2 separate regions of the Mus musculus genome follow, and region 1 is reported to be linked to region 2. Evidence: microRNA targets listed by miRTarBase, many of them from high-throughput screens and not tested one by one. Region 2 holds a microRNA gene; the other region holds the end of a gene's coding sequence.
What was found. The annotated mature microRNA mmu-miR-29b-2-5p reads CUGGUUUCACAUGGUGGCUUAGAUU and lies in region 2 at 2,713-2,737, opposite strand. An mRNA with a match to its seed (bases 2 to 7 or 8) in the 3' UTR can be bound and repressed. Matches are read on the target gene's strand: a 7mer-m8 pairs with bases 2 to 8, a 7mer-A1 pairs with bases 2 to 7 and ends in A, and an 8mer does both.

Region 1: the mRNA of Tgfb1 is a reported target of mmu-miR-29b-2-5p. The part of its 3' UTR that is shown has no 7-base or 8-base seed match.

What each region holds. Positions count from the first base shown.
Region 1 is chr7:25,704,281-25,708,544 of GRCm38, reverse strand. Tgfb1 (transforming growth factor, beta 1) reads right to left here. Exons shown (of 7, transcript NM_011577.2): 7 at 3,468-3,761. The coding sequence ends at 3,603. Among named protein-coding and RNA genes, the nearest start is that of Ccdc97, 13 kb to the left of the region's middle.
Region 2 is chr1:195,035,523-195,039,786 of GRCm38, reverse strand. It overlaps Mir29b-2 (microRNA 29b-2), which reads right to left and starts at 2,747; the gene lies at 2,667-2,747. A330023F24Rik (RIKEN cDNA A330023F24 gene) reads right to left here. Exons shown (of 8, transcript NR_015566.2): 8 at 1,879-4,264. Mir29c (microRNA 29c) reads right to left here and starts at 2,240; the gene lies at 2,153-2,240. It also overlaps a transcript of Cd46 not described here.

The DNA of each region.
Region 1 (4,264 bases), not on the chromosome of region 2:
AAATGTGGCACTGCTAGCCACAAACACAGAGCTGAACACACACCCCAAACTGACAAAGCCAGGCAGGCCAAAAGCCCTCAGGGATCAGTGGGGGTGGGTTGAGGGGAAGAACGGGCTGCTCTGAACACCTAGAAGGTCACACTGGAAACAAAACACATTGGTACTGTGTGCGCCTGGAGATTAGGCTTCAGGGGAAATTTTGTTCCTGCCTCTCCCACCCTACCCACCCTCGCTCACCCAGCAGGTCCAGGACGGGACAGGAAGGCCTGTGCAGGCCTCCTTGGCTGCTTCCTGCCCTGGAAGTTGGACGGGAAGCTAGGGCTCCAGGCGGAACCCAGACTCCCTCCCACAAGTTCCCCCGTGCCCCAGCTGCCTAACCCTGTATCCTGTCTGTCCTGTGTGAGGTAGATGCTGGTGGGTAGGAGGGATGTGTCCTGTGCTGGGTCAGGCCACCCATCGAGCCCAAGTGCCAGGGCAGCAGAGATGCTGAGCCTGCAATTTACCCTCCCCCAGGCCTGCCAGCAACCAGGCCTGCCTAGGAGCAACAGGCAGGTGGGTGGGCTATGTCACCAGTGGGCAGGACATGGGGCACAGCCAGCAGTTGTCATATCCGCAGGCTCTGGGAATGAAGGCCTGGTATAAGGGCTCGGCAATCCTGGGGGTGTGTCTGGGTGCGTGGGAGCTACTAGTCTGGGATCCTGGGTGTGACTGTGTCTGGGTCTGTGGGGCCACTTGGGACTCCCCAGGCAAGTGGGTGTGTGTGAAGAGTGTCAGACAGTAGCTGTGACCTACTGGTAGTCTGGCTGGGACTGTGACGTGTATGAAACCCCGGCGTGTGTGGTATGAGTGGGTTTGCAGCGGGTCACGCAATGACCATGACCCCGTGGAGGATGTTTGTGTAACTGCCGGGGGGAGTAGTCTGTTTCCCAGCTGGGCTCTGATGCTGTGATGTGTGTCTGGTGTGTTTGACACTGTGAATCTGTCTGGCATGTGGTGCAAGCTTGGCCCTATAATGTATATTTATGTGATGGCCTTTTCTATCAAACTTTCTACTTGTGTCATGTCCTGTGAGGGCCCAGGGCTGGACTGTTTATAGTCTGTATGTGTGGTCTGTGTCGACTGCCAGGTGTCAGAATCTATGTCACTAGTCTTGAGAGGTGAATGTGTTGGTGTAGTTGTGGGACCCTGTCCATACTTTGGCTTCTGCTGGGGGTAGTGGGGCTATTCAGCAATCCTTGAATGACTACAATCCTGATTGTGTTCTTGCTTGCGTGTTTGTGTATCTGCCAGGCCAGAGCTAGTGGCAATGACAAATGTTCTTGTCCTGCCCCAAACCCCAACCTGTTCCTCAGAGGCTCTCAGCCCCTGATGGGACGAGACTAGGAGGCCTCTGACCCACTCTTCCAGGCTCAGTGCTGTCAACCTCAAACCAAAGGAACTCTGCCCTCAGTCACCCTGCCTCCCTCCCTCCCTCCCTCCCAGACACTCCCTGAGTGGAAAGCAAGTTTAGGAGCCCTGGGGGCCTGAGAAAGGCAGAGGGTAGGGGAAGTGAAACACAGGAGAAAGGAGGAAACGGGCTTGAGAAAGAGGAAGCAGGAGAGAATTCACAAGCTCCCCCCAGCAGATGGGAAGAGATGAAACACAGGACTCGCTAGGCTCAGGCAGCCGGTCTTTCTTGCCTGGGTAACTTATCTTCCTGAGGACACATGCATGCATATACGCTCATGCATGTGCACTCTCTCTCTCTCTCTCTCTCTCTCTCTCTCTCTCAACCCCAGGAAGGGAGGAGGCAGGGTGACTGAGGACAGAGTTCCTCACCATTCACTTAACTCGCAGTGATTTACCAGAAATGGAGGCCTCGGATACAGCTTTTTAGCTCATCTGGTAAGGCTATGTGTCCCCCAAGTTCTTTTGGGGTCCCATACTCCTGATCAAGATATGATCAAGAAAGCAGTCTTAGATCCATGTGCAGATGCTAAACTAACTAAGTTCTGTGGATTTAGGAAGTAACCACCTTCCGTGTGTGTAAATACTTCCTCCTGTAAAGAGCACACGATCCCCCAAAAAGGATAAGCAAGCTTTTGGAGAGAGTGGGAAGGACTGAGGGGTTTTCCATATACTTAGCTCTGCTTGGCTGGGGGCTATGTAGATCAGGCTGGCTTTGAACTTGTGGTGATGATACTCCTGCCTCTGCCTCCTGTTCAAATTACAGGCAGCCTGTTCAGACCACACCCATCTTCACAGGTTTTCCAGAAGGACCAGGTGATATTGCTGGCCCTGCATACGAGGCTGCAGAAACAGTACATGGCTCCAAACAGTATGTGGAGGAAGCAGCGAGTGTGGCCGTGAGCCAGCGGGACTTATTTACAGAAACAGGCTGCAGGCTGCAGGCTGCAGGAGGCTTGGGGCCAACCTTGGCCAGCCCCTGCTCTGTCAGGCTGTGGGAAGAAAGCTGTGATCAAGGACAGCCACACACCTGACATGTAGGAGAGTTGTCATTCCCTGGCTTGTGCTGACTTGGATCTGACTCAGCGCCCAACACCCTTCCCTTAGACTCTTCCAGTCACGTTGCTCTCTTTCCTCACACAGTGGCACACCCCAAGATGGCTGTCACTTGTCACTTCCGGTCTTCCAAGAATCTCTCTCTCTCTCTCTCTCTCTCTCACACACACACACACACACACACACACACACACTCCCTGATTCCACTTCCTTCTTGTGGCTCCCCCTCCCCCTAGGCTCCTTTCACCCAGTGACATAGTCAGCACCAACACCAACTACTGATTTGGTGTTTTGGTATTTTGGAGACCGTTTCTTCTATGTGTAGTCCTGTGTATCCAGAACTTGCTCTGTAAACCAGGCTGGCCTCAAACTCAGAGACCAATCTGCTACAGCCTCCTGAGTGCTGGTCTTAAAGGCCTGTGCCACCACATTCTGTGAATTGGGGGTTTTTTGGGATAGGGTCTAATGTAACCCGGAAGCCCCAGAGTTCCTTATCTAACCCTTGCCTTCCCACTGCAGGCATTTCAGTACCACACACTCAACTCTGAACCAGTAGCCTGGTTATATCTGAGCTAGCCTGAGCTATATCTATCTGCCTGCCTCAGTCTCCTGAATGCAGGGACTTGTCACATGGGGCCACCACAACCCACTGTATCAGCACTTTTTGCTCTTCCATATACTCATCATCCAAGAAATGAATTCATCCCAGCAGGAATTCAGGCTCTCCCGGATTGCCTCGTGGATGCTCAGAGGTATAAAGCACTGTGAACGGTGCCTAAAGAGATGATACCTGAGTCTAATAGGGTTTTCCCTGGGCCTCAGCGTCGCCCCCTGGAATTCTGGGATCAAAGCCGGCGTTCCTTAGGGAGTGCTGGAGGCGATTGCACAGAAAGGGACAAGATGTGGTAGGGGCGTCAGCTAAGAGGGAGACGCAATCCGGCGGCCAATGACACGGAGACCACCAGTCCTCTGTCACCTTTAATGGGCCCCCCAGGTGGGCTTGAGGGGGGGTGCAGGTGTCCTTAAATACAGCCCCGGGCGCTGCGGGCGGGGCGGGGGCGGGGCCGGGCCTGCCGGGAGGGGCGGGGCGGGGCGGGGCTTCAGCTGCACTTGCAGGAGCGCACAATCATGTTGGACAACTGCTCCACCTTGGGCTTGCGACCCACGTAGTAGACGATGGGCAGTGGCTCCAAAGCCTGCGGCACGCAGCACGGTGACGCCGAAGCGCCCGGGTTGTGTTGGTTGTAGAGGGCAAGGACCTGCGGGTGGGCCGGGGTCACTGCCAGAGTACAGGGGCTCCCCCTATCTCTCTCCCCACCAGGATCTCTACATTTCTGTCTCTTATCTCTGAGCCTCCTCAACTTCCATCTCTGTTTCCCTATCTCTCCCAGTCTATTTCTATATATGTCTCTCCCTATTGTTCTCTGTCCCTCATCTGTCCCCATCTCGGCCTCTCTCTCTCTCTCTCTTCCTCTCTCTCTCTCTCTCTTCATCCTATCTCCTCTTCCTGTCTGCCTCAGTCACTTACTCTCCCATCTCCAATTCTCCCCACCTCCTTTTCTGTATCTCTCCACATCACTAGCTCTCTTGCCTTTCTCACCCAATCTGTTTCTTTCCATCTCTCCAGCTCTGCTCTGCACCCCCCCCCTGCTCTTCTCCGTTTCTCTGTCACCCTATCCCGCTGACTCCCCACTGCTCTAAGCTTCCCATTCTCTCCCTACCACCCCAGCCTCTGCTCCAGCCTGTCCCATGAGCCAGACCC
Region 2 (4,264 bases):
TGTTAAGAATGTTGTGTGTGTTAAGATATCACATTTGTACTAATTTGTTACAGTACTGACTTGAAATTTATGCACTAACATATTAACTGGCAGCACATAACTATGACCAAAATAGTATGGTCTTTTCAGAAATAGAGAAGTGGCTCTCAGCCTTGGCTCTACAATAGACTCATCTGAGCCCCATTCTAAAGCCAGCTAAAATAGTATTTGCTTGCAGGAATGGGACCTGAACCTGAGGATCACTCTTTTGGTGACCAAAGCCACAGTAATGTGGTACTGAGGTAGAATGTGCCCCAGATCAAACACAGATTTATCTCCGGCTTCCCTTAAAAGTATGTTAATATCAATGTGCTATCTATTCCTGAGACTATATGCCAGCTTCCAAACAGAAGGCCTAGACCAACTTCTTAAAGATGCTAGGGACTAAACTTAATTCATTTGATCTACTAAACTGGTTGCAGATCTTTCTTCCCCCAGTTAACAAAAATACACTGTATTCACTTCTAAAAAGTCTGGTAAGGCTTAATTTTAAAAAACTAATGCTTTAACAAAAGTCTTTATACCTGGGTTGACAGCATGGTTTTATAAATCTGATTCAGGAGGGTGCTGTTAAAAAAAAACCTACATTACTAGCCAATTATGAAAAATTATCCCAGAGTGACAATTTTATGTAAAGGGCTATAAGCATCCAGATAAAAAATAACTGAGAGGTGTTCTGGTTTCAATTTGCTTCTCAGGACATCAGGATATGGCAAAGTTTAAGTATTCAATGAGAATATTATGATTTTTCTAAATGGAAATAAATTTTAAATCATTGTTTTTGTGCTTTGATATTAAATTCAACTTTCTAGCACTTAACTCATTAAAGAGCCAGAATCATGGCCTGGGGGAGTTTCAATCAAATTTTCAGTACAAATTAATTGGGAGCTTTGGACAGAGTAGCTATGTTTTTTTTTTTTTTAAAGACTTAATGTGTAGTTAATACCACAGACCCAATCTGTCATACTTAGAGGAGCTGCAGTCTCCTACTTTAGTGGGGTAAATTAAAAAATACAGCTGAGGGACTTAGCTATTCCTACCAGCACATCCTTAGATGTGACTTAGAACATGGATTCTTCAATCAAAGGCTTGAAATAGCTTTGCAGCTGCAGGATGCATCATAGTCGCTGGGAAGTCTTTCCAGCAAATTCTCCAACAGCCTCCCACTTCCAGCAAAATGGGCAAGGCAGCCATCTGGGGTAAGGCAACTGGGATGAAGGCTTAGAAGAAGCTTCCTGAGCAGCTGATTTGCCATTAGTTATTAAAACCTACTGGCTTGAAATAATTGTACTGCAGGTAGTTCATAGTTAGCTATGCAACTCCTATGGAAGGGGCCACCTGCTTTCTTCCTGAAAGTTCCCCAATCATGAACCCTGCCCCTCCACCACCCCCAATGCTGGCAAATCTCTGAACAGTTTTATAGAACTTTTTCACCGCCTACTGAAGGGTTGAAATAAACTATCAGTGGAAAGTAGAACTCCCTCTGCTACAAATACAACTGAAATTAGCCTGCTCCCCTTTAAGGGCCACATGACAGTGCAGTTAAGTAAGTTCCCTGCAGCAACTGACAGGAGGAGGGTCAGAGTCCACAGTTCCCTTGGAACCAAGAATAGTCTTCCCATTTAGTAACATCCCTCAGCCTAGAGCTCCAACCTTCTGTCTCTGCTAATCTTTCATCTTTAGAATTTCATTCCTGTCTTAATGACCTTCATTTTTAATGTCTGCATGCAGCAACCTACTTCCAATTCCTTATGATTGGCACAGCAAATTAACTTTCCAGGGACCACTTCTCATTGCCATAGAATTATGAATGAAAAATAGTAGATAAAACAGACATGATAGATTGAATGTAGCAAATTATTTATTAAAGCCAACGTTTAACAGTACTTAGTTTATAACAGTACTACATGTCAGAAATTGTAACTGAGAATATTTTACAACAATAAATTATAACAATTAAAACCCCCCACTAAGTGATCTCTAACCTTGGCAGCCACATACATACGAATTAAAGAAGTTAGGAAACTGTGATCTTCCTTTTCCACTCTGCCCACGTAGGAAGTGATAGGCTGATGCTGATGCTGACACCACAAGGTTCTGAGGCTGGTGCTCTTCCCCCTACATCATAACCGATTTCAAATGGTGCTAGACAAAAACAGACTCTGAACACCAGGAGAAATCGGTCAGCCTGTGTAAGAGATGGACCGACTGGTGGTGTTCTTCAGGTCTGAATCTCAAGGCAGGTGACAGTCTGATTTCAGCTGTGCTGCAACCAGGACTGAATGAGTGCTCCATGGATCTTCCAGGTTCAGACGAGCCATACTGATGTGAATGAAGCAGTCCTCCACATACAGAGCTCTTACCCCTTCCTTGCTACAATTAATGAACAGTGCAGGCCCAAGGAACCCTCTTCCACCCATGGAATGCTGAATAAAGTAGACCACTTCCTGATTATACCCTTATACATTCTGAACACAAAAACTTTCTCACTATCACTGCCTCTAAACCAAACAGACTCAAGAGCAAATGTCACTATTCAAGTCTTCCCTTGATTTCTCGAAGGAGAGAGCCAGTTCTGTGTACAGCTGTTCCTCTGTAGTCTACCCTCTGCTGTGCTGCAATTCTTACTCCTAAAACACTGATTTCAAATGGTGCTAGATACAAAGATGGAAAAATCTAAGCCACCATGTGAAACCAGCTTCCAGAAGAAGAGGATCTCACTGAAGAAAGCAGAGATGTGCAGTCAGAAGAACCAGCCTCAGCCCTGAGAATCATTTTGCCTGTCAGACGCAGATGACAGCCATACAGCCAACACTTTGAGCAGACAAAAACAATGCAAAGCTTGTTTCCTGTGTGACTTCACATTAGTCATTAGAAATCATCATACACAATGAAATAAAAGAACCAAATCCATTCAACATATGTACATTTGTAATGTCTTGAATTTATGTAATTTCCCAAGATGCATAGTGTCGGTAGATATGTCACTTGTTCAAGACAATGACAATGACCTATGAGATGTTAACAACTGAACCCAAGTAAGTCACCTGTGCCAGGACAACTCTTCCACAAGTATTATTCAAAAAGAGTATGTTCCTTCCTGCTCTCTATCCCATGACCCTGTAGGCTAGCAATTTGATTTAACCCCTAATGTCTTTTTAAAAGCTGGTATCTTAACACTGTATTATACAGATAACCCTCTAACACAAAACAAGGTATGTTTTAAAAATGTACCTAAAAATAAGATTCACAAGCTATGTTTCACATTGTACTGCATTTTTGCTGTATATTTCCTCTGATGTCACAACTGTCATCTTTGAAAGGAGACAAAGAGTAGAGCTGTATTTTTCAGGTTCCCCAGAAAAACTTTTTGGCTTCCAGATACAAGCATATTTTTTTATGGCTCCTGGCTGTTTTGGGGTAATAGAGCAAATATAATGTGAGTATCCCCAGAGTCACAATATTCAATTGTTCCAAGATTCCAGTGAAGTAGGTTATTATTCCGATGTCTGCACAAGAAACTGTAGTCACAGGATACGATGAGCTAATGTCTATATTCCTTTCCCTCTGCCCACTGTTGCTGCTTGATCCACAGCTTGACTGTGACCTCTTTTCTCTTGAACTGAACTCAGAGCTAGACTGGGGAGGGGGATTTAGCTCAGACAATCTGGATGGGAGACTCACTGTAAACATGCTATCCCTGGGTGAAGATGAGAACACATCGTTGGTACTGCAAGAGGTCAAGTAGTCTAGGAGGACCTGCTTTTGTTCTTTTGCCTCATTGGTGCCCCTTTATTCTTTCCAGCAATAGAGAAGATGATAGCAATGAAGCCTAGCAATGCTGACACTGACTTCTCAGAAACTGGGCCAGCCAGAGGAGAAACAGAAGGCCCAGCAGCCTCCCTGGGGCTTTCCAGGGCCTTAGCTGCAGATGAGTGCTGGAAGATCTATACACTGGGTTTCTGAGTGACACTGACATTGGTTGGCAAAATTAGAGCCTGAGGGTTAGGAACTCTAACCCATGATAGGGAGGGCTTTAGGTCATAAATAGATTAGATGGCAGTTATTAACAAGGGTCAAAATCCTGTAAATGAAGGGGAAGGTGAGATTTGCATATGATAATATTCAACTCTTCTGATTTCCATTTCAGCCTAATTTTCTTAGCAACTTCCTCTACCATCCCCCAATCCCCTCCCTCTATGCTAAGGAGAGAGATCCTGCAGGG